Rattus norvegicus: one gene and its partners. The protein of the gene in region 4 interacts with the protein of the main gene of each other region in a pairwise test. Links are inferred from orthologs where the notes say so. Each region holds a gene or a part of one and is shown on either strand. Other genes may lie near its edges. The genes, in order: Abi2, Sh2d3c, Sorbs2, Efs, Trappc6a, Ostf1 and Tssk1b.

Region 1 (3,001 bases), on a different chromosome or scaffold from region 4:
TGCCTGCCTGCCCCCCTCCCCTCCCCTCCCCTCCCCTCCCCTTCCTTCCTTCCTTCCTTCCTTCCTTCCTTCCTTCCTTCCTTCCTTCCTTCCTTCCTTCCACTGTGGACTGAACCATTAAGCTAAATCTGCAACTCCCAATATCTATATTTTAAAGAGAATAGATCATCCTGAGTTTACTAAAGTTGTCCACTAAATTACTGTGTTGTTACCAATATAAAGATAGTTATTCTGCATTACTTTTGCTTTTTCTTGAAGAAAATACAGATTGACGGGAAACACTAATTCTTAAATTTGTCATATAATTACACTGAATTGTATTTAGGTAGAGAAACACACCCTGACTCTTCTAAATTAGGTTTCTGATATCCTTATTGTATCCCAATAATAGAAGATAATTACGTATGAGAGATGCCACTTTTTTTTTTTTTTTTTTTTTTTTTTTTTTTTTACTAAAGTGGTTCAGAAACATAGGGCTCATGGCTCTGCTGCTGGGTTATATTTCAGCCCTTTAGTTTTAAGACAATTACAGTGTATGCTTAGAAAAAGAGCTGGAATAGTTCTCAATTAAAATGCTGGAGTTTGGAACAAAGTCTTAAGTCTTAGGTGAATGTGAGTTAAGTTATGAGTTACCTGATTTTATTAAAATTCTTGAGGGTAGATGTGATGTTAGGAACCAGAGATTATCAAAGGTTCAGAGGCCTATTTAAACCAATAAAAATTACAAAAGAATTTAACCAGGTGTCTTGGTTCTTTTAACTTTATTATGGATGTATTGAGTTGGTAACATAATGCAGTATATGTTTTGAAAGTATATGTATAGTGGATTAGCTTGTAGGAATTCAGTCTTCACTGATAGGCAGAGTCCAAAAAAGGAGCAATGCTGTTTTTTAGTCTGTCTGACTTCTCAGTTGTATCACAGCGTATCTCATAACAATAGTGTTTAAGTACGAGCATTTGTTTACACAGTATGGTGCCTCAGTGTAAGTTGAAACGAATTACTGTCTTTCATGTTCCTTAGAATGCTTTTTCTCTGGAGTTAACTAAAGATGACTTTCTTTTTTTTACTTGATTGCCATTTATATTGGATTTAGAACCTTTTTTTAAAGGAAAGGACATTCAATTGTGTTAAACTAGTTATTGGATAGAAAACATGTACAAATGTTCATCTCTAGGAAGTTGCTGTGTATGAACGCGTAGTGGCTTTACCTTTCTAGAAATGGCATTGTTGCTCACTTCCTATTTTGTTTCTCCCCTAGTCGTGGCAATCTATGATTATACGAAAGACAAGGAGGATGAGCTGTCCTTTCAGGAAGGAGCCATTATCTATGTCATCAAGAAGAACGATGATGGTTGGTATGAGGGAGTTATGAATGGAGTGACTGGGCTCTTCCCTGGGAATTACGTTGAGTCCATCATGCATTATTCGGAGTAAAGCCCAGCACAGCCGTGCTTCTTGTTCAGGTCAGGTATTCCCAGATTAGCTAGAGGCCCTGGGAATTCCCTCCCAGGAAATAGATGAAGCATACAAATGATAAAGTTACTCTTTTTATTACTGTTTTGGTTTATCCCCTAGTATCAAAACCTGAAAGCCAAGTCTGAACAAGTGGAACTTCTTGGGTCATTTGCATTATGCTATCTAGATTGAAAATGCCATTTCTCAGTCACGAAAGGCATACCAACATGAACATATAGCTAAAATATATAGGACCAAGACTAACTTGAGAAAAAAATCTGGGATCTTCTCAGGAATACTGTACACCCTTGGATTTCTCTTCCTGCAGAATCTGTGACATTGGATGCTCATTGCCTCTGCTTTGGGGCTAACCTCATGGCCTGGTGGACACCCTTGCCCTTTACTTTCAGTATATGGAGAGGAAGGAACCAGTGTTTAAATACTTTATTTAACTACTTTTGGATTGCTTAAAAAGGCTGTTTTTCTTCTTTAACACTGTAAATCCTGTGTTCTCTTAGCACTGGAGTGCTAGGTGAGTTAATCCCGAACTCCCTTGCATCCTGTCCTGTTTGTAGATTATAAGGATGACAAAATGTGAGTCTCCAAACATTCCCAGGGTTGTTACCAGTTTGATTTTAATGCACTGTTGCATGAGACTGCATTGCTGATAGCAGCCAGTAAAACCGATGTGAAATGTGGTAGGTACTTCAAGTACTGAGGTGAGCTTGCTGGACACAAAGGTTCCTAAGGAGCTCCAGCCTTGAGGCACTGTTTCAGAGTAGAGCCTAGGAAATCAGACCAGCTATTACTGTTCTTTTGATATTTAAACACCCCCCCCCCCCCACCTCTTTTAAGAAGAGACTAGTTGTCAAGTCTCTGACAGTCACTGGACTGGGAATGAAAGGCTGCTACTGTGCTCTTGGACCATTATCAATGGCAGTGTTAGCTGATGCCAAGCCATTTTTCTTCTCTCAGCTATAGAAAAATAAGTATCCTCCTGATTTGAAGTGATTAGACTTTAAAGTAGCACTCCTCGTAATAGTCTGAACCTTGTGAGTCAGAGTAAAGAGTTTACTGGAAAAGACTAATAGGATAAAATACTTACCCAGTCACACTGATGAAAACCAGTCTGTATTTGAAACAATTGGCATCCCCTCATCTACTGAAAAGGAAGAGGAAGCAAAGCTGTTGTGATTCAGATGCAGGCCTTGCACATTCTGTCTAGCGATGCTAGAAGAACAAGTGTTGTAGATGCGAAGAAAGGCAGGCTGTAAGGCAGCAGCTAATACTCCACTCGTAGATCTGTTATCTGAGCCTGAGGCTTCACTGTGCAACTCAGACCCAAACAGTGTCCTTCTCAAGACCCTTTTTGCTTTAAGGTTGTAGGTTTTGTTTGTTTCAGACACGGTGCTCTTCTGCTTAGCCTCTCAAATATTAGGACTACAAGGAGGAACCCTACACCAGGAGCAGGATTTTTTGGTTTTAATACCACGTTGCATGCACATCAGCTATTACACTTTTAGACTTTTTTCTAAATGCTTTGGA
Region 2 (2,683 bases), on a different chromosome or scaffold from region 4:
TTGTGTGGCTCTTTTGCCCGCACAACACATGTGCGCCCAGTACCCAAGGAGGTCAGAAGAAGCCATACGATCCCTTGGCACTGGAGATACAGATTATGAACCACCATATGAGTGCTTGGATTGACCCTGAGTCCTCTGCACGAGCAGCCAGTACTCTTAGCCACTGAGCCATCTCTCTAGGACTCTAGACTTTTAAAAGCCTTTTTATCCCAAACTCTGGATTTCTTGCCTGTGGATGGGGTGGGGGTGGGGAACTATGATTTTTCTGGACGGACCCTGGGCTCAGAGAAGACTAAGGTGTGGGCCCTACTTGCGCTGTCTTGGACTGACAGTCTCCCCTGAGCTCATGGCAGTAAGGGAGGGGCACCTGTCTGCTCTAAAACTGGTTCCCCGTATCATCTGGAAAGTCTTTGGTACTAACCAGGTATTTGCTGATGTCTTGGACCACTCACCTGAGGAAAGTGCTTCTTTCTACTATCCAGGCCTCACGGGACAGAGGAAAGAGTCATTAAAGTTTATTATATGAAAGAGATCATGGCTTCTGTACATACATGTACACCAGGCTTATTTACAGTAAGATAGAGGCCGTGGCACCTCTAGGCATAGATGCCGGGAGGAAGGAAGAGGGGTGGGGAGCCTCCCATGGCTCAAAAACAGGGAACCTCGGCAAAATGGGAGCCAGCGAAAGCCGAAAGCCGGCGGGAGGAGAAGAGGTTCCTGTCCCTTTGGAAGGGAGACTTGGTGCACGTGTGGTGGAAGAGTGGAGCTCAGAGTCCATTCAAGACCCTGGAAGTGCAAGAGAGATCCTGGATTTGAACCCAGAACATTCTTGGGCTGGTCACAGTGTCCCTGTGGTGCTCTGGAGGAAATGTCCTGAGCCCCTCTGCCCCCGATGCTGTCAGCAGCTGCAGAGAGGCAAGATCTCCGGGGTCACAGTTCACTAGAGCGGATGGCAGGTTCCAGCTTGTGGGACAAGGCAGTGAGGACTTTGTCAAACTTCTCATAGCGCCAGGCCTGGCTGCTGTTGGCACCCTGGCTGCCCCAGAGGAGACGCATCTGGAACTCTGTGCTGAACACTTCCAGGAGCTCCGGTCGGGCCTGGAACCCTGCAGGGTGGGAAGACAGACGAGCTTAGGAATCTCTCCACATCCTACAGGGCCCGCTCACAGAGATCTTTCCCTAACCCCACAGGGACCCAACACAATGTTCTGAGGAACAAGACCTTGCAGGCAGCACTAGTCTTTCTTCATCTATCTGCAACCTAGGATTTTTTTAAGGAACAAGACAGTAATCTGTGCTTGTGCTTGTGGTGCCGACATGAGACACCCAGCTTTGTGTGTCTAGGCAGGGGCTCATTGCTCTCCTACCCCCTCAGCCCTTAAAACGTAAAATACTCCTGTAAATCTCAGGCGAGATCACAGAAGGTCTTTCTTATATTTCTCCGTAAATTTCCCTTTTTCTTAAAGAAAGACTATTCTAAAGTGCATATAATTCTCTTCTTTCTGAGGAAAAAAAAAGATGAAAAAGATAATACCAAGCTATTCAAACCATATATCTCTGGGCAAGTGAATAATTTTCTGAATTTTTTTCCATTATTATATTTTTTTCTTTTGAGACAGTCTCCCTATATAGCCCTGGCTGACTTGAAACTTCCTATGTAGACCAGGCTGGCCTCGAAGTCAGAGAACCGGCTGCATTCTGGCTGGCCTTGAATCCAGTACACAGCTGGGGATGATACTGAACTCTTGCTAACTCTGTCAGAGTGCTGGGACTGCAGAGGCTCACACTCCCAGTTTATGCGGTGTATGCAGTCCTGGGGATTAAGTCCAGGGCTTTGCCTGCTGGCCAAGCACCCTACCAACGAAGCCACATCCCCAGCCCTCCAGATTTTTCCTGGTTTGAATAATGCCTGACACAGTGGCCATCATGTGAAGTCGCTTTCTCTGCTCATTTCCCAGAATTCTGTTCCCCAACCCAGGCTCCCTGAAGACCAGGCCGACCTTTCTGCATGCTGGGCACTATGGAAAGACAGCTGCTCACTTCCGGGAGAACAGTGAGGTGCAGGTGGCTGAAGCACAAAGGTGGTCAGTGTCTCTCAGCCCACCTCACCTGATGCCATCGCTAACAACTGCCTACCAGTGACAAGACCGATGGGATAAAGGAGCCAGGAGTTGAGACAGAGGGGTGCAAGACGTCAGTGGATGCTTCAGAAGACGCTTAGGTAGAGGCAGATGGAGGGAAACTGGGTTTGGGACGGCAGGGTCCTCTGGACATGACAGCTACTCACCCTGCAGCTTGACTTCAGCGTTGGTGTGGTAGAGGCCCCCGTGGTGTGCCACAGTGCGGGCAGCCTCCAGGTGGGCTAGCACAACCTCCACACCATGTTCTGTGCTGCCCCAAGGTTCAGGGCCCTCGGCGGGGGCGGAGTCACACTCCAGCAGGGTAATGAAGGGCAGCACGTGTGGAAAGGTGGTGTTGCTCAATGGCGGGCCTTCTGTAGAGAGAGAGGCAGCAGGCTCTTAGACCTGAGGACCCTGCTACCCCACTACAACCACAGAGATGCCTGAGGCCCCAGGAAGACCACCAAGGTCACCTGGGGCCATCCCTTCTTCCCCTGGTGACCCGACCCTGCTTGTGACATACATGGCTACCCCTCATGGGACAAAAAGTCAAGCTATTATTC
Region 3 (3,500 bases), on a different chromosome or scaffold from region 4:
CCATAGTATCTACTGCTGACTTCACTGTTACTGTCCCCATGTCACCTCTATTCTTGTTAAAGGGCCAAAGAGCAAAAACTTTAAAAGAGACTTGATAATACTAAAATTAAATGACACTTGACAATACTAAAATTAAATGTTAATTTTGATTAAGGAGTACCTATATCACAAAACTTACTTATAGTACAAAGTTAAAGTTATTTCATATTAAAAAAATTAGAATTAGATTCTGTTGTAGAAAATAAGAAATAATACTAATTTTATTTGAGTCTTTTTCAAAATAGAAATACATCAAGCTATGTGATTTGAATTTGCCAAAGAATGATTCAAGAATTATTAATGCATTCTTTTCTCTATTTGTAAATATCAATAAGAAAATAGGATGTCTATCTTTTTTTCTGCTTTTGTATTTCTCATTGTTTAAAAATACATATTTTTTTCCCTGAAATTGACTAGCACAACACTACAGGAATTTCTTCTTTCATTAAGCCAATGGCATCACAGGATAGCTGCCAGTTGAAATGAAACTAGAATTTCTTTCAAATTATGGACATAAAGATTTTTTTTTCAGCAGTAAGAACAAGATAATTGATTACTGGTGAACCTTGTACATTCCTCTATTAAAATGTGGTATTTGTACATCCTTCTATGTAAAATGCAGTATTGTAATACAAACCATGAATGCCATTTAAAACATATTCAGGAAAATGACAAAAACCCTGATTTAAAATATTAGCTTGCCATTGTTAATTAGACCACATGGGAGAAGCCCTTTAGTATGTAAGCATTTATAGATACAAACTTTTCTCTTCTGCATCCATTCATTTAAAGGTTCGGTCATGTGAGGGTCATCTATGAGTTCTCTTAAGATAAATGGATGGTAGGTAAAACTTATATGGATGGATGAAGATTCTTTTCCATTCTCAACAGAAACTACTGAAGGAAGGATATCGACTTTTAAATGTTAAATTCTGGAAACTTCATAATCAAACTGGGGCAGAGTGCTCAGTTATCCGGTGAGAGAGAATGCATGATAACTGCCCATGACTAAAATCTAGCTTTTTTGAAGAGGACTAGAATTAGTAAGATGCCAAACCTTAGTCTTTTTAAAGGAAAATATCTCAATTGAGATGGATTCCTAGGTTATTTACTTAGATGGAGGTGGTTTGGGCTTCTAGGGACGCTGTCTGAAAATAACTTTGACTTCATATTCCACATCCTTGCCCCGAGCTCAACAATTAACATAACATACAACCAAATACATCACTTTTATTGTTGGGAGGCATTTGACAATATTTTGGAAATAATTTCACTGGTGCTTTACATTTTCGTATTTTAAAATAATAATTTCGTATTTTACGAACTATAGAAATGATCCCTGAAAGTATAGTCTTTAATTTCGTATTTTAAAAGGAGAAAGAAACCCCTACATACATCCATAAGATATCTGCCAATTCAACAGAAAAGTGAGGGAGAAATTTTGGGGACAAAGGAAGTTTGAGGATAGGCTTGATCTGATGGACCAATTCAGGAGGGAAAGTCCTTTCTAGATTGTATTGAGAAAAATAATCATTTTCAGCTTAGCTACCTAAGTTAAGCTACCAGCTTAGGAGAAACAGTGGAATTTGTGGCTTCCAAAATAATAAAAAAAAATTGGGTACTTCTAATTATTATATTTAAACTAATAATGGAATTAAAGGTCCTAAATTAAATATAATGCCTTAGGCTGTCTATGAAGAAAATACCTTAAGATTTTCATAGAATGTTATATACTTAGTAATTATATAATGATTATATATTCTATATATGCATAAATCTGTATGTGTGTAATTTATATACATGGAAATACAGAGATGTATCAAGGAAGGTTGATGATACTAATGCTTTCTCTCTTTAACTTGAAAATGGAATTAACAGAAATGAACATTTAACTTTTCATACCCGCATCTACTTGAGGAAAATTAACTTTATATTTTCTAACCTGCAGCTCAAGTATATGAATACATGAATTTGTTTCTTTTCAGTAGATATGATGGTCTGATATCCCCCAAATCGCTTACGAGCATCACATTGAGACCCCAAGCACAGAGGTAACATGATGGAATGGCTTCTTACCTTATTGGAGCTTAGGCTGTAAATTCTATCACTGGAGTAGCTGTGGGGTAGAGGAGGGTCGGGGTAATCCTCAGAACCTTTCGTGTTCCTCTTGACAACTTCTACGTAGGAGACAGGGAAGATGCCTTGTCTGTTGGTTCCTGGGATTTTACCTTCATACCAGTTTTGATCAACTCTTTTGAGAAGAATAATCCTGTCACCCTGGAATGAGCATTGGGGAAATGCATTATAAGTAGAGATACAATGATGTTAAAAAATGCAACTGCCACTGCCTTCTAGTAAGACGGTAGTTTTCTATTTGGAAAAGTTTTATGCCTGTAGCTTTTGCCTGGTCAGAAGAATGTGAGCAAGGTCCCAGTGTTCATTAGAAAAGCATAGGTTGTCAGCAAAGATCTAGGCTAACCTTCCATTCATGACGTTAGAGCCCTAAGGATCATGGGAATGGGCTTATGCATGTTTCATGCTGGTTCAGAGTAAAATGACTTGTGGAAGTTATTTCAAAAGGCAAATGGTATGAAAGGTGCCGTATCAATGGCAGGACCTCATCGAGTCTCTACTAGAATCATTGTGAGGACACGCACAAAGAAGAAATGGTGTCTGAAATGGGTCACAGACGCCATCTTCTGGAAGGCACAATGGTGGATGGCATGCTGTCTTCCTTCTGCAATCTGCATGTCCTGAGATGTGACAGAGCGAATGAAAAGGATGAGGCAAAGATGCCACTCTCGAACATCCCTCGCTGTGGAGAGGGCTCGTGTCCCTCTGGGTCTGATCAGGTTTAACACCAGCACCCCTTCATTCTGCCCACTAAGCATTTGAGTAGAATCCTCAGCTTTTGCAATAGTAGACATCTCTATGATCACTATTATGCTTCCTTCAGCGAGCAGGCCAAAGTTAGATAACATAATTTGACTCCTTACTAAAAGCCATATGTGGGCCAGAACCAAATCAGCAAGCTGATGTTAAAGGGCAAACCCAGCAGGTGCAGCTAGAAGGAGCTATAAACTGTGGGGGACAGGATCTGATAGTCACGGTGGTGACATCTACTGATCAGATTCAGCACAGCAGGGAGCCCCTTCCAGTGCCAGTGCCTTGAAGGTTCTCTTTAACTCAAAGTGCCGGATGGTTTGTTAAAGTGCCTCATCACCACAGAGCAGAACATACTGAAGCATAGGGAGTCTCCCCAAATAGCACGGATTTTCTCATGCGCCCAGAACAGGCAGTTGGGAGTTAGGCTTTCTGGGGTTATCTCATACAATGACCAATCTTTAAAGCATGGGACAGAAGATGGATGGTACACTGTGCAATGCTGTGTGGCATTCTGGGTAAGTGGTGCACAAGGAAGGGAAGAGAGAATTGCCAATGATGCAGAACTAGGGATGGAA
Region 4 (4,300 bases):
ATCCCTGCACTTCTGAAGGCAGAAGGATCAGGGTTGGGCTATATAAAACTTTGCTTCAAAAAACAAAACAAAACAAAACAAAAGACAGAGAAAGGCCGGGAATCTGAGTACGTGACAGTGTAGCTCAGTGGTAGAACGCTTGCCTAGGATGTTTTGAGACATCGGGTTCAACCTCTAGTACTATAAAAAGCATCATCGTCATCAAATAACCAACCGAATGTCCAGCTGTAGGAGGATGCTGCTGGACTGTAAGGGAGGAAGAAGCTCCACTCACAGAGATGCTGTTCCTCTGGGACCGTTTTGTGCTAGGAAGCAAGTTGTGCAACCCTTGTGCTCCTTTCTTCTCCTCCTAAGCAACCAACTACCCTTCCTCCCTTCCTTCTTCAAGATGCTGGGGTCAGGGGCTGGAGAGATGGCTCAGCGGTTAAGAGCACCAACTGCTCTTCCAGAGGTCCTGAGTTCAATTCCCAGCAACCACATGGTGGCTCACAACCATCTGTAGTGGGATCCGATGCCCTCTTCTGGTGTGTCTGAAGACAGCTACAGTGTACTTATATATAATAAATGAATAAATCTTTAAAAAGAAAAAAAAGATGCTGGGGTCAAACTCAGGTCCCTTTGCAGCCAGGCAAACGTCGCCCTACATGCCTGGCCTTCGTCACACCATTTCTGATTATCACGAGACGTCTAAAAGCAGCACGTCTACAAGAAGAAAGCATGCTAAACAGACAATACAGATCACTGGCTGGCTCTGTACTCCACATGTGTGCACGTGCACGGGGAGGCCAGTGGTTGTTGGTGAGATCCTCCTTACTCATGCTCCATTGTTTTCCCTTTGAGAGACTCTCAACTTTGAGCTCACTGACTTAGCTAGCAGAGCTGGACGAGCCTCTGGAATCCTCGTTTCTCCCCTCACCCCCATTGCTGGGTGAGTACACTGCACGTGGCTCTTTATGTGGGTGCTGGGGGTCAAACTCAGATCCTTAATTTATGCAGCAAGTGCTTTACCAACCGAGCCATGTCCCCAACCCCTGCATCTTTCCTTCTGATTGAAAACTAGAAATTAGTATCCTGGATCTAGCCAGTGATCAAAGACAAAGTTGTAAGTGCAGGCGGACTTGGGGCTGAGTCCCTTTCTTGCTTGGATGGCTTTAAGGAGATTTTAAACATCTCTGTACTCTAGTTTTCTCCACTGTAGAGTTTCCTTATCTACAATTGTTGAATAACACGTCCTTTTAAGCTGCGTGAGACAGTGCATCAAAAGATTGTGACAAAGTTTAGTGCAGCGGCCAGGTGTGTAAACTGTAACTATTACTATTGTTATGATCCTGTGAGTTTCATTAGCATAAATACCCCTCACCCAAATACCTTCTGGACTTCAAAAGTGGCAGTAACACCAGGATCCTGGCAGCAGCTTTGGCACTCCCAAAGGTTCTGCCAGCAGAGGACTAAAAGGTTCTGTCTAAGGAATGGAAAACAGATCCACCCTCAAGGTGTGCTGTGGCTCTGGGCTTTTCTTTGACTTTTGTAACTTTTCTTCCCATAGCCAGAGTCCAGGAAAGCAGGGGGCAACCTGGCTTTCCCCTGGGAATCCCCAGCAAGGGCTGGGGAAGCTGAGAAGGAATGGATTTGCTGTACAGACTCCAAGACAAAGTAGAGGTGCGGCTGTACAGCCCCTCCCAGTATTAGGTTTGAATTTTATCCAATGGGGCCATGCTTTGCGCTTTGCCTAAACCCAGGCCAGAGCTGCTGATAGGATGATGGATACTGGGTGTGATCACTCCTGCTTTACCTCCTCCTAGGGGCCCAGCTGACTTGTGAGGCAATGGCTGACTTATTCGGGGTGGCAGGGTGCCACTGCACTTTCTGGTAGGCCTCCTCCCACAATTCCAACAAGCCAACTGTCCCTGTCTTTTGTCCCCAGTCACCGGAAAGTGACCCGAGGCAGGCTGATATCATCTCTCCTCCTCTGTATTATTTTCCCCTGCCTGTTCACGTGCCTGTGTCTCCATTTCCCCCAATCCTTTAGAGTTGGGCTTCCTTGGCCTTCCATTTTCCTTGGGCTTCCTGGTCTTTGTCAGAAAACTCCTTTTACGTACCTCCCAATTACAAGCCCCTGCCAACCCCCAGTGGGCATCTGTTTCCACCCAGCAAGAGCAGATAGGATGGGGTTACACTCCGCCCTCGCCCTCCCCCCACCCCCATTTATCCACAGCCACTATAAAGAAAGAAACTAGAGAGAGAGGAGGAGGGGCCAACCCAGAACCAGAAGGCACACGGGGCGAGGACTGAGACGGAGAAAGGAACAAAAGAGAGAGGGCACAGCTTGTGGGAGAGGAGATCAGAGTGGGTAGAAATAAACGCGACAGTAAAGCAGGTTGGAGGTCTCAGCCTGGCAAGCCTCCTTTCCCTGGTGAACTCACCGACGTGGCAATGGCCATGGCTCTGGCCTCCAGGGTCGCCTGCTTCAGGCTAGGCTCAGTTTCTCTGACCTCAGCGATGGGTGCCCCACACCATGGTTCCCGGCCTCCAAGCCAGAAGGTCACCCCAAGCTGTAGCGCTTGAGGAGATGCCTCCCCCAAAGTTGGAGGAAGAGAAAGAAAACCCACAAAACTTTCCAAATAGGAGGCAGCTTGGCCAAGCAGGAGGAGGAGTAGGGCGGGCCTGGGCGTCGCTGCGGGACCTCATCCAAGGGGCGCGCTCTAAACTGTCCCCAGGGTCTTTCGGGGCTGCAGGCCCCCACAGCTGCTGCCTCAAGTCGCAAAGGCCTCCTGAACACACATGGGGTAAAGCTCACTTCCCAGCCTAAGAGACAGGAGCTGTGGCTGCTTTCGACGCCTCTCCAGGCAGCTCAGGCTAACCCCGAGGGCTGGGAGAAGCCGCCTGAGTGGTTAAGCTGGACGAGCGACTCTAGGGGCCAACCCTCCCCCAGCGGCGCAGAGCTGTGCTCCCAGGGCTGTGGTCCTGGCAGCCGGGGCACTGCGGCGGGACCCGCGGGGAAGGAGGAGGAGCGACAACTGAACCGAGTGTCGCCAAACTCGCTCAAGTCAGCGCAAAGGCCGGAGCCAAAGGCCTAAGAGCGCGTGGCGGTGGAGCTGGGCCGTCTGCCCAGGCCCCCGCCGAGGCGGGCTCTCCCCGCCACACTGCTCAGCACAGCCAGGTCTTGGAGGTGGCCGCGAGGCACCTCTGGGTCTCAGCGCTCAAGGGCGCGCACCACCCTCTGCCCCGGGCACCCCACTGACCGAAGTCCCCGTTCACACACCCTGGACCCGGCGCTCGGCGAGTCCCAAAGCTTGGGGAAGCTCCAGGTGTATTGGGGAACGAAGAAAAAGGCCACAGAGCAAAGGGAACAGAGAAGGGGAAGGGCAGTTCTATGGGCTTGCCTAGGGTCGAGGTGGGGACACTGAAGGTTAGAAAAGGTCCGGGGTCGCTCGTGGCCCCCGCTCACCCCTTGTACTCGGCGCCCCTTTCCCTCCCCTGCCCGAGCTCCGGCTCCCCGCAGCAAGCTCTTTCCCCTCCCCTCGGGCCCACTCCTCTCGCGAGGGGCTCAGTCCAGGGGATTAAGAGAAGGGGGAGGAGGAAGGGGGAAGGGGAAGCTGCAGAGAAAGGGGACGATCCTTCCCGAGGCGGTGTTGAGTTTCAGCTCCCCACCCTAGGGCCAAACTGCGCGCCCCAGCCCGGCCCCTCTCCCCCGAACCTTCCTCCTCGGGACCGCGCGGCAGACCGCGGGGTGGTCTGGTCTGCGCGCTCTGGAGAGCTCCGCTCTGGCCGCCACGCCCCCGCTCTCCCCCGCCAGCCCCACGCCTCTCCCTGCCTCCCTTTCATTAGCCCCACATCTGTCTTTCCCGAGGGAGGGGACGCGCTGCTTCCGCCGCGCCAGGGTCCTGGAGGTTTCACCACGCTGACTTTGCAGGGGGCAGCGGGAGTGAGCCGGGGAGATCCAGAGGGTCACTGGCTTGGAGTCTGGTGTTGAACAAAGATTCTGGCCCTTGGGAGAGAGCGAGAAGCCTTAGCGTCTAACTCCAGATCCCAGGCTGGCCGATTGCACCGCCTTTTCGCCTCCTTTGCCAGTCCGGGCCTGTCTCTCTTTTAAGGCTTGGCCCTCGCTGCTCCTGGAGCAGTTGGAGGAGAGACCGTGGGCAGAGAGGACAGAACTCTTTCAGAGGGACCGGAATCGGGAGTTTTAGCTGAACCCCAGCTCCTTGCTTTCTATACTCTTCCTGCCAGCCTTTCTACAGTCGCTCTCTTCTCTGGCCTTTACTTCGAGAAGGTGTACATCAGAGCTTCTTAGAGGGAGATC
Region 5 (2,208 bases), on a different chromosome or scaffold from region 4:
GGTTGTGAGCCACTGTGTGGGTGATGGGATGCGAACTTGGGTCCTCAGCAAGGGCAGCAAACACTCTTAACTTCTGACACACCTGTCCCACCCTGAGAGGTCTTGTCTTAGGGGTGGCGGATTGGAAGGAAGGCTCAGTAGTTAACAGCACTAACTGTTCTTGCAGAGGACTGGATTCAGTGCACATGCGCTTGAGCACAAGCGCACACAATTAAATTAACAGAAGAGCCAGCAGCCCTTGTTACTTCTCAGCCACCTCCATTTGTAGTCCCTGGGCCTGGTGCTTACCCATGCAGCAGTGGGCAGCAGAATGCAGGCTTAAGCCCAAGGGCAGCCCCGGATGCTACAAATACAATCAGAACGAGGTGGCGGGTGTGACCTGCTGGGCCGGGGGCAGCCCCAGACTTGTTGGCTGGCAAAGCCAGAGAGCTAGGCCAGGTGTGCCTAGAGCTCACAGGGTGGGTGTGGGTGGGGAGGGACGTGTGATAAGCACTACACAGGTCTGTTTCCTCATAAAGAACCTTTCTTTATTGAACATGTCTGGGAGATGCCCTAACGTCCCTCCATACCCACTCTGAACTCATGGGTCCCACCTCCCGGGACCCTCCTAGTCCTTTCCTTGGCGGAAGCACATGTGACCTCCCCAGAGCCTGTGAGTGCCTCCAAAGGTGAGCAGTGAGGCAGGGCCAGATGCCACATTCTGAGGCTGAGGTTAGAGCAGGGCAAACCTGGGGTCCTCAGGACTTCTGGATCACCACCTGGAACTTACCTGGAACAGAAGGGCCAAGACAGGAAGCCCGTGAGGGGGCTAGCAGCTCACCCGACTCTGCACCAACAGCCTGGGGGGCCCTGGCAGTGAGCGGGTCACAGGGGTACCGTCCCACCCAACTGGCCCGAATTCCAGACCATAGGGGAGCCCAGAGGCAGGAGGGCTAGCCTGAGCTCCTGACATGTCCTGCTCATTGAACCCAGGTCCTCATAGAGGGGTGACAGCTGTCAGGGCGAGGGGTGTCAAGATAATGGCAGATGGGTGGTGAGTCCACTGTTCCGAGCATCAGGAACCTGGCCAGGGTAGGACATGTCCCACTGGGTCCTGTGCCAGTTTCTTCTCTTAGAAGCACCCAGGGACGCAGCTGGGTATGTGGTTCCGTTCCTGTTACCTGTTTCTGGGCCTCAAATTTCATGTCACAGTTTGTTAATCTGGTTCCCCTTCCCAGCACTGATGAGGGACCAAAGATGGGGATGCCCCAAAGCCTGCACCACGTTTAAGGGAAGCAAACACCCGACCCCCAGTGACTTACAGGCGGGCAGGGACGCCACGGAGGCAGTGACCAGGCTCTGGAAGCCCAGAGTATGGAGGGCGCCGCACAGGAGGCCGCAGGTGAAGGCCAGGAACTGGGGTGGGGGTGGGGGACAGAACACTGTGTGTGGGAAGAGGAGAGGCCAGGCCCCAGCCCCAGGAGAGGCCTAGCGGGGTGGGCAGATGGTCATATCCTGTTTCTCCCAATACCTTGGGGGCTTCCTCTAGGTACTGTGGCCCCGAGCCCATGGGGATGAGGAGGGGGAAGCTGTTGTCCTGCAGCACATAGGTCCCCTGTCAACAGAAAAGAATGTGGGGACTGGGTATTAGCAGCAGGGAACCCACAAACCCAGCAGCCAATCCTTCCGAGACAGGTGGGACACCCTGTGGCCATGTGGCATTAGGAAGGAGTCCTGCCTGGCAGGGGGGCTGGGAGAAGCTGACTCTCTGGCCCTTGATGTGGTGGCAGGGAATGAGCACAGCGTGGGTATTCAAAGGGGACTACTGGGACTTGCCTGGGACAAGAACCGTCATGCTGAGGCCACTGCAGGGATCACTCCTGAGGGGCAGGTTGAAGTTGAAGAAATAGCCCTGCCACTCACTGCAGTCCTGGCTTCCCTTAGGGCTCCAAGGAGCAGGGGTAGACAGTGATACCAGTCTAGGTATCACCCAGAAGCCAGGCTGGAGCTGGGCTCGCACACCCACCTGGTGGTTGGTGCGGAGTCCGTCCATATGCTTTTGGAACATGGCCGCCCACAGATCTTTGCACAGGAACTTGAGGGCATCTAGCTCCTCCCTAACGGCCAGCGTCTCCCGGGGCAGCCTGGATGAGGATGTGGAATGAAGTCTGGCCCATATGGTACATGTGTGGGCCCATGAAACCTTCCCCACCCTCCGTCTTATCAGCA
Region 6 (3,926 bases), on a different chromosome or scaffold from region 4:
TGTAGTAGGCTATACTCATGAACTGTGCGCCAAAAGAAATCCTGAATCATTTAAATTGCAGCAGAAAAAAAAAGATAAGTAAGACCTGCCTCTAGGCTCTTACAGTAAGTCCTCTGACCCTCGCTGTCCCTTCATCTGGCTCCTGTCTTTCCAGTGCTGCCCATTAAATTAGAAGCCATGTTGTCTTACTCTGCTACTACGGAAACCCTGTCCAACACAGGAAGAGAATCTCTGGGAACTCTTGTCCCAGATCTCAGTGCCATTAAAGTAACTATTTCCCAGAATAAAGAACACATGTTAATTTCCTGAGCACTACAGGCCTTATGGTTGGTCTTTCATCTGTCTGCATGAGGCTGAGAATCACGTGACCGCTCTTTTTGGTAACTTTACAGGAGTCTATGGCGTGCATGCCTACCAGCTTACTTCTCTTCTCGCTTACTTATTATTCTTCCCTCTCTGCCCCAAGCCTTTTTCTTTCCTCTCTTCCCCAACTCTGTTTGATAATTTGAATGTTTAGCATTATTTTGGAGAAGAGACATTTGGAGAGAGTATAAACAAAGCAATAGATGAAAAATTAAAACTTAAATACGTTCTCGTGGATGTCGGGCTTCTTTGGAGACCTTCATCCCCATGTCTTGCCTAGAGTAGCAGGAAAGAAAGCACAGTACACCTGCAGTGGGGATTCAGCACGGCTGTGCATAAGAGTCCGGCTGGGGTCAGAAACCTGGTTCTTTCAGAGTCCTATCCAGTTGTAAAATATTCAGGGCTCTTCACACAGGGGCAAAGCACAAATCCTGGAATCAAGCGTGTGTGTTGTACTCCTCGACGATTCATACATCACCACCCCACTGCTGTTAGGAGATGAGTTAACCTGCTGTGCCTTACTTCCCCCCCGCTAGACAATGGGAATAAAAATGGTGCTGACCTGGTAGGGTTACTGAGAAGGGAATGAGTTCAAACATGTATGGATGACTAGACCAGTGCCTAGCACCCAGTACATGTGGGGCAGTATGAAAATAAAGGTTTACATGTGGGACAGTATGAAAATAAAGGTTTCTGTTTTCCAGTAAGCCAGCACATTGCTTTAAGTTCGACTAACACTAATATTTCTCTCTTTCTGTTACTAGGTAAATAAAGTGATTTTCATGGCAACCCTATTTATGTATGTTTGGGCCTCACTTATAAATCCCAGTGAAGTCAGAGTTCTCTCTAAATAGTACAAATGTTTAGCCATGTGTTTTCTGGTTTGCTGGAGAGGAAAGGGCAGATATGTAAACAACAAAACTAGTTTCCAGAGCCAATCTCCACTTCGTAACAGGCTGAGTCCTAAACCACACCCAAAGGTGCATGAACACACAAGCTCACAATCACGTACACAAAGGCAGACTCCTGCCAGCACCCACAGACCCAACACTGACTTCACTTTTAATGTGTCTGGAGGAATGAAAAAACCTCACGGCCTGATTGTCTAACACATTCTTCAAAATCAAGTGCTTTGTTTAGCCATCAAAGAACTCAGCTTAGTTGGACACTTGAGGTCCTGACTTACATATGAGTTTACAAAACTGCCACCTCATACATCCGCATCTAAATTGCAAATTGCAAACTTCTCAGATTTCACATAGAAGGCAGCCTCAACCAGCACCACCCAGCCTCGGCTCAGGCCAAAGCCAGACTGAGCCACTTCCTTCATATGCGGCCCTGAAGAATTTATGTCGACAGAGAATGCCTATTTCGCAAATGTGTGTGCATTATTTTCAGATTCAGGAGTTGATGCTGCTACAAAAGAAGAAAACTGGATAATTATTGAAGTTTAAGTGACTGTCACTTTAATAAAAAAAAAACTCAAGGAAAAAAAATCACTGAAGCAGCATAAGCGGCTATAAAGGTTGATAGTATATGGCTCAAGTTTCAGCCTTTGTAATACCAAAGCTGCAGGAGACTGGAAAAAAGAGGGCTGGGAATTCGTCAATCATTCATCTCCTATTTTCTACGATTCCTGTTAGTTCCCTATCCAAATGAAAGTTCCCACGAGTTTATTTTGTCAAGCTGACATATAACAGTCCCTTAAAATGCTCTCGTTTCTCCACATCACAGAAACTACTCTAAGAACGACGTTTTAAAAAAGCGAACCAGGAAGAGTGGCCAAGAAAACTGTTTTGAGGAACTTCGTACTCTCTCCAGTTTAGTTCGCCCGAGTCACCCTAAGCAAAACACTTGCATGCAAGACAGAGCGTTACGTCCTAAAGCTAGGAGCCGAGAGGGTTGCAGCCCAGCTGTCCGGTTGGCAGTGCCAGTGTAGCTCTCCAAAGCTCTCTGGAAACCTCGGGTCCCCGTTCCGCTCCAGTCCGAGCCCCGCAGCTGGAGGGTGCAAACCCCACCCAGCCGTAGCGCACTTCCCGTTCGCCAGCCGGTCAAGAACTCCAACTTGACAGCGACACGCCGAAATATGAGGAAGTGGCCGCGACCTAGGTGCTGCCACCACACCGCCAGAACGTCCTGGCGAGCAGTGCATACAGAGTCCGAGGGCGCTCCTCGGGAACTCCGGCACGGGGTCCCGCAGCCTGGAGACCCGTACCCGCAGCGCGCAGAACTCTTACCTGGTTTGACCGGTTTGGGAGGTGGCTTGGACATGGCGCTACTCGGAGCGGCCAGGCTCAGCCGCGGGAGCCCCACACGCAGACAGGAACTGGGAGCCAAGCCTGCGCTAGCCGCGCCCGCTCCGGACCCGCGCGCAACCCGAAGCGGGACACCGGGACTAGCGAGCTCCGCAGACAGCCCAGCCTTCCCACCAGGAAGTGGCCGCGCCTCGCCGGCTGCTGATTGGCTACGGCAGGGAGTCCTCTGCGCCTCGGAGGTCCAGCCTGCCGCGGAGCGCCGGAGCCACGCCCTCCTCTTGGGGGAGGAGCCTTGCGGTAGCCACGCCCCAGGCCCTGCTTAGGGGAGGTTATGAAAGCCCACAGTGGGCTGTGCTGCTCAGGTGAGCAACCGGCAGTTGTGTGCTTGAAACCGTCTTGCAGCCTGCTCTGCGGCCCTGCTGGGGAGGATTCGAACCCGCTTTGGTGAGTACTCACTGCTCGCTGCGTACACACGCCGAGGCCTGGGAACCTTCCAGAGTCTCCTGCGCTGTACCTGGAACCTGACTGCCGCAAGGGAAACCGCGTTGGGATTCACGTTCCTAAAAAGCAATTAGCCACCGCTAAGTGTAGGAGACCTCACACTTGCTGGCAGGAGAATCGGGTCTTGATCCCCCACGGGGACAGGACAGTCTTTTCTGCAGCATCTGGTTAACAAACTCCAACCCAGGGGCTGGGGATTTAGCTCAGTGGTAGAGCGCTTACCTAGGAAGCGCAAGGCCCTGGGTTCGGTCCCCAGCTCCGGAAAAAAAAGAACCAAAAAAAAAAAAAAAAAAAAAAAAACTCCAACCCACTTGCTACCTGTCTTTGTAAAGGCTTCTAAGAATGCTTTTGGCGGTTTTTAAACAGCTAAGACAAAAGCATAGTATTTTGTGGTGTGTGGCACATGACAGTTAGGGGCAACTTAGATTTCCATAGACGCACCATGCTCGTTTGCATATGCATTGACTGTGGCCTCTTTCTCATTAACAGCTTCATTGTTGAATAGTTGCCCACAAAGCCAAAACTATGCTACTGACTGTTACTTCACACAAGTTGCCCAATCCTAACCTAACAGCTCCTCTCCTCAGAGTTTATGCTCACACATAAGTAAACTCATAGTGTTGCAGTCTTATACGCCTATTGTATTAGGGGAAATAAAAGTGAAAACATCGGTTATGTAAGAAACTACAGGGTCAGCAGCACCATGGTCCAACTGCCCTTGCTGCCAAACCTGTTGACCAGAGTTCAATCTCTAGCACCCACATGATGGAAAGAGAACTCCCACAAGTAGACCTAAGACCTGCACAT
Region 7 (3,325 bases), on a different chromosome or scaffold from region 4:
GTGTCCTAGGCTGGACTGCTAAGCAAGTCCCAAGAGGGACTATAGGGCTGGTCAGTATGCCTTCTGTACTCTCCCCAGCCCTCAGGCATGGTCATGCAGCCTGCAGCCCTGGGATAGTGTTAAAACACCTGCCTGACCCTGAGCCCCTGATGCAGGAAGCCAGCTCTCCTGGTGCAAGACAGGGCTTTGGCTTCCAGCCCTCCTTCTTCTACAGGCAGTCATGTTCATCCTTGGGCTAGCCTCCCATTGTCTTCTCTCCACCCTTCTTTGCACTCCTCAGCCTCCCTCTGGAAGTTATCTTCTTCTTATCTTCCGTGGGCTCTGCTCCTCCAAATGCCCCCCCTCCCCCAACCAGCCTTTCACTGGTACAACTGCCTCACCTCGGCCTAAGGACACAGTCTGGGCTTGGGGCGCAGGAATGGACTTCCCTATGAGTGACGATTTGCAGTCTCACAGGAAGACAAGGGGAGCCCAGGACTACAGTGATCTGGGTAAAGACATTCACCTGAGGGTGTGCACCCATATAGTGGTTTATTGCTTCTTTAGCCATGTGAGTTACCAAGTTCAAAGGAGGGGGAGAAGAAAGTGACGAAAATAGCTCATCCGGGAGTGTCTTCCTTCTCTCTCTCGTCCCTTGACTTCTAGGCTCAGGCTTCAAGCCATGAGCTCTGCCTCCTTCCCTGCTGGCCCCCTGGGCTGCAAGAGGCTCACTAAGTATGTGTCTCTGAAGGCTGTTGGGGATGCCCTTCCTCTGTGGCCCTGTTCAGTTCGCTGCTGAGGCCCACGTTCTCTGACTGCCTGGCCACCTGCACATTATCTTCCTGGGGTTTTGTCTCAGATTGGGCCTCAGCTCGTGCCTCTTCCTTAGGCTCCAACTTGGTGGCAGACTTCTTATCAGCACCAGGTTCAGGGGTCCATGAGGGCTCAGCGGCCCGGGAGCTTTCCCCTTCCTTGTTGATGGCTCCAGAGGACAGACCTCGAGTCTTGGGCTGCACCCAGCAGTGGCTGAGGATCTCATCAATGTGCAGCCTCCGGTTGACATCTGGCTGCAACATTCGGTAGATGAGGTCCTTGCACTCACCAGTCAGGTGTTTGGAGCGTGGGAAGTTGACGCGGTGCTCCTTCTGGATGCGCAGCATCTTTTTGATGTTGGAGTCATCGTAGGGCATGGAGCCACAGACCATGATGTAGAGGATCACACCCAGGCTCCAGATGTCATACACCTTGGGCTGGTAGGGGATGCCCTGCAGCACCTCGGGGGCCGCATAAGCTGCTGACCCACAGAAGGTCTTGCTTAATGTCAGCCGACCACTATCATCCCGCAAGCAGCGCTTGGAGAAGCCAAAGTCAGACAGTTTGATGTTGAAGTCCTTGTCAAGCAGAAGGTTCTCACACTTGAGGTCTCGGTGGACGACATCCAGGTCGTGGCAGTACTTGATGGCCGAGGAGAGCTGGTGGAACTTCTTTCGAGCATCATCCTCTTGCAGGGCTCCTCTGGTTTTGATGAATTCAAGGAGGTCACCCTGGACCCCAAGCTCCATGACAATGTAGACCTTGCCATCTGACGTCTCAAAGATCTCATAGGTCTTGACAATAGAGCGGTGGTTTAGCATGGCCAGAATCTCAATCTCCCGGGGAAGGAATTTCTCCAGGAAGTCCGTGGGGGCTTTCTTGCGGTCGATGATCTTGACCGCCACGTTGAACTTTAGGCGCTCAGAGTAAGCGGATTTGACTTTGGCATACGAGCCCTCTCCTAAGTTTATCCCCATGATGTAGCCTCGTCGCTTGAGGACGGCTGCGTCATCCATGGTGCCGGGAGTGCCCAGTGCCTCTGAGGCTGCCCTCTACATCCCTGCCAGACATGGGCCAGCAGTGTTTTCATTTATACTGTGGACAGAGAGTCCTCTGAGCTGGCCAGGCCTGCTGTCCCTGCCTCCTAAGAGGCCCAAGACTCTAACATGGAACTTTCAGCGCCGTCTCCCGGGTGACTTCAGTGGGTGAAGTCACAAAGGAGTAATGCCCAGGGGGAAATGCAGCTATTGCCTGGGGTGCTTTGACTTCGAACCTGGAAGGTCTGCCACTCTACTGGAGCAGACTAAAAGTGAACAAAATGGTTTATGCTTGGCTCTGGCCTGAGGTAAGGGGGTTCATCTTTTAAAAGACCACTTTTAAATTTTTGGGGCCCTGAGACAGACCTGACCTACAGCTGTGAAGATCCTTCGAGTTCTTTATCTCCTGGCCCAGGGGTGGTGGTGGTGGTGGTGGTGGTGGTTGGTGGGTTAGGGAGTTAACACTGTGCTTTCACCGTACCGTTCGGCCAGACTTCTTACTTCCTGTCCTGCTCTTTTCTCTTCCTAACCTTTCCTGGACTCTTAACGGTGGCTCTGCAGGTGGACAGTTGGCAGGAAGTCTGCATTTGGCTGAGTTCCCTCCAAAGGACCTGCCCAACTCCTAGCTCTGAGTGAGCTCCCAGGGCAGATTGCAGTGGTGGTGGGTATGGGGGCAGAAGGCTAAGCCTGGATCTTGTACTGAGTGCCGGGAACGTGTCATAAAACTCTCCAAGTGCCAAGGTAGTACTGGACAGGTACCTCTGCTGCTGTCAGCAAGGAGCTCCCTTTCTGTTGTGACAAGACCTATATCCAACGCCTTGGGCCAAGACCTGGGAAAGTTGGAATATCTGATGGTTCGACCTTGGCTTTATCCACCTATAAGAGTTAGCATCTTTCACTCGCACAGTTCCACGGTTCTATCATTGGTTGGAATCCTGGGCCTTTGGTGGAGGGGCAATAGTGAGTTAGGTATGCTGGAGCTGACTGACCTTACCCCCTTTTCACTTCCTTCCCCTGAACAGATTGGTCCTTCATTTGCTGTCTGTCCTTCCAGGTACATGCTGTTCATGAAGGCAGGTGTGAGTTTAACACGAGGAGCCTTGTTCCCAGGCTTTAGTCTGGTCTCTGCCTGGGCTTTTATCTTCATTGTATAGGCAGCTCCTTCCCTAGATCGGGTCCAGAGACTATGGGCTTCTCTTGTTATTCTGACATCCCTTAAACCATTTCCTCCTCTGTTGTATTCTTTGTGTTGTATTCTTTCCCATCCACAGAGCCTGCTGGTCCTTTATTTTCACTAGAGCTCTTCACTGTCTTCACAGCGGTTCCGCGTTTAGAAGACCACTTTAGGGAATGTGTTGGCACTGGGACAGACCTGGGCTTCCAGGAATAAAGATCATTCAAGTCCAGCTATACTTCTTTGATTCTCTAATCCCCGATCTCCACTCCTACCCACCCCAGCCCTGGCGCCAACACTGTCAGTCCCGGTGACCCTACCA

Evidence for each region.
Region 1: the proteins of Efs (region 4) and Abi2 interact in binary tests that used the Homo sapiens proteins (3 or more experiments, as listed by UniProt). The link is inferred for Rattus norvegicus from reciprocal best matches to the Homo sapiens genes EFS and ABI2.
Region 2: the proteins of Efs (region 4) and Sh2d3c interact in a two-hybrid assay, tested with the Homo sapiens proteins (2 studies listed by BioGRID and IntAct). The two-hybrid records come from large-scale screens. The link is inferred for Rattus norvegicus from reciprocal best matches to the Homo sapiens genes EFS and SH2D3C.
Region 3: the proteins of Efs (region 4) and Sorbs2 interact in binary tests that used the Homo sapiens proteins (3 or more experiments, as listed by UniProt). The two-hybrid records come from large-scale screens. The link is inferred for Rattus norvegicus from reciprocal best matches to the Homo sapiens genes EFS and SORBS2.
Region 5: the proteins of Efs (region 4) and Trappc6a interact in binary tests that used the Homo sapiens proteins (3 or more experiments, as listed by UniProt). The two-hybrid records come from large-scale screens. The link is inferred for Rattus norvegicus from reciprocal best matches to the Homo sapiens genes EFS and TRAPPC6A.
Region 6: the proteins of Efs (region 4) and Ostf1 interact in binary tests that used the Homo sapiens proteins (3 or more experiments, as listed by UniProt). The two-hybrid records come from large-scale screens. The link is inferred for Rattus norvegicus from reciprocal best matches to the Homo sapiens genes EFS and OSTF1.
Region 7: the proteins of Efs (region 4) and Tssk1b interact in binary tests that used the Homo sapiens proteins (3 or more experiments, as listed by UniProt). The two-hybrid records come from large-scale screens. The link is inferred for Rattus norvegicus from reciprocal best matches to the Homo sapiens genes EFS and TSSK1B.

The regions. Positions count from the first base shown.
Region 1 is NC_086027.1:69,394,205-69,397,205, forward strand, and holds part of Abi2 (abl interactor 2), read left to right. Parts: intron 1-1,259; coding exon 1,260-1,435; 3' UTR 1,436-1,784; coding exon of another isoform or gene 1,785-1,927; 3' UTR 1,928-3,001. UniProt on the Homo sapiens protein: Regulator of actin cytoskeleton dynamics underlying cell motility and adhesion. Functions as a component of the WAVE complex, which activates actin nucleating machinery Arp2/3 to drive lamellipodia formation.
Region 2 is NC_086021.1:36,442,009-36,444,691, reverse strand, and holds the end of Sh2d3c (SH2 domain-containing protein 3C), read right to left. Parts: intron 2,495-2,683; coding exon 2,288-2,494; intron 1,107-2,287; coding exon 931-1,106; 3' UTR 501-930; downstream 1-500. UniProt on the Homo sapiens protein: Acts as an adapter protein that mediates cell signaling pathways involved in cellular functions such as cell adhesion and migration, tissue organization, and the regulation of the immune response.
Region 3 is NC_086034.1:53,187,984-53,191,483, forward strand, and holds part of Sorbs2 (sorbin and SH3 domain-containing protein 2), read right to left. Parts: intron 2,317-3,500; coding exon 2,116-2,316; intron 1-2,115. UniProt on the Homo sapiens protein: Adapter protein that plays a role in the assembling of signaling complexes, being a link between ABL kinases and actin cytoskeleton. Can form complex with ABL1 and CBL, thus promoting ubiquitination and degradation of ABL1.
Region 4 is NC_086033.1:32,368,944-32,373,243, forward strand, and holds the start of Efs (embryonal Fyn-associated substrate), read right to left. Parts: upstream 2,801-4,300; 5' UTR 2,442-2,800; coding exon 2,424-2,441; intron 1-2,423. UniProt on the Homo sapiens protein: Docking protein which plays a central coordinating role for tyrosine-kinase-based signaling related to cell adhesion. May serve as an activator of SRC and a downstream effector. Interacts with the SH3 domain of FYN and with CRK, SRC, and YES.
Region 5 is NC_086019.1:88,291,786-88,293,993, reverse strand, and holds the end of Trappc6a (trafficking protein particle complex subunit 6A), read right to left. Parts: intron 2,124-2,208; coding exon 2,006-2,123; intron 1,595-2,005; coding exon 1,511-1,594; coding exon of another isoform or gene 1,396-1,510; coding exon 1,302-1,395; coding exon of another isoform or gene 1,186-1,301; exon of another isoform or gene 770-1,185; coding exon 738-769; 3' UTR 501-737; downstream 1-500. UniProt on the Homo sapiens protein: May play a role in vesicular transport during the biogenesis of melanosomes.
Region 6 is NC_086019.1:225,473,052-225,476,977, forward strand, and holds the start of Ostf1 (osteoclast-stimulating factor 1), read right to left. Parts: upstream 2,801-3,926; 5' UTR 2,635-2,800; coding exon 2,601-2,634; intron 1-2,600.
Region 7 is NC_086029.1:96,594,716-96,598,040, forward strand, and holds Tssk1b (testis-specific serine/threonine-protein kinase 1), read right to left. Parts: upstream 1,925-3,325; 5' UTR 1,809-1,924; coding exon 711-1,808; 3' UTR 501-710; downstream 1-500. UniProt on the Homo sapiens protein: Testis-specific serine/threonine-protein kinase required during spermatid development. Phosphorylates 'Ser-288' of TSKS. Involved in the late stages of spermatogenesis, during the reconstruction of the cytoplasm.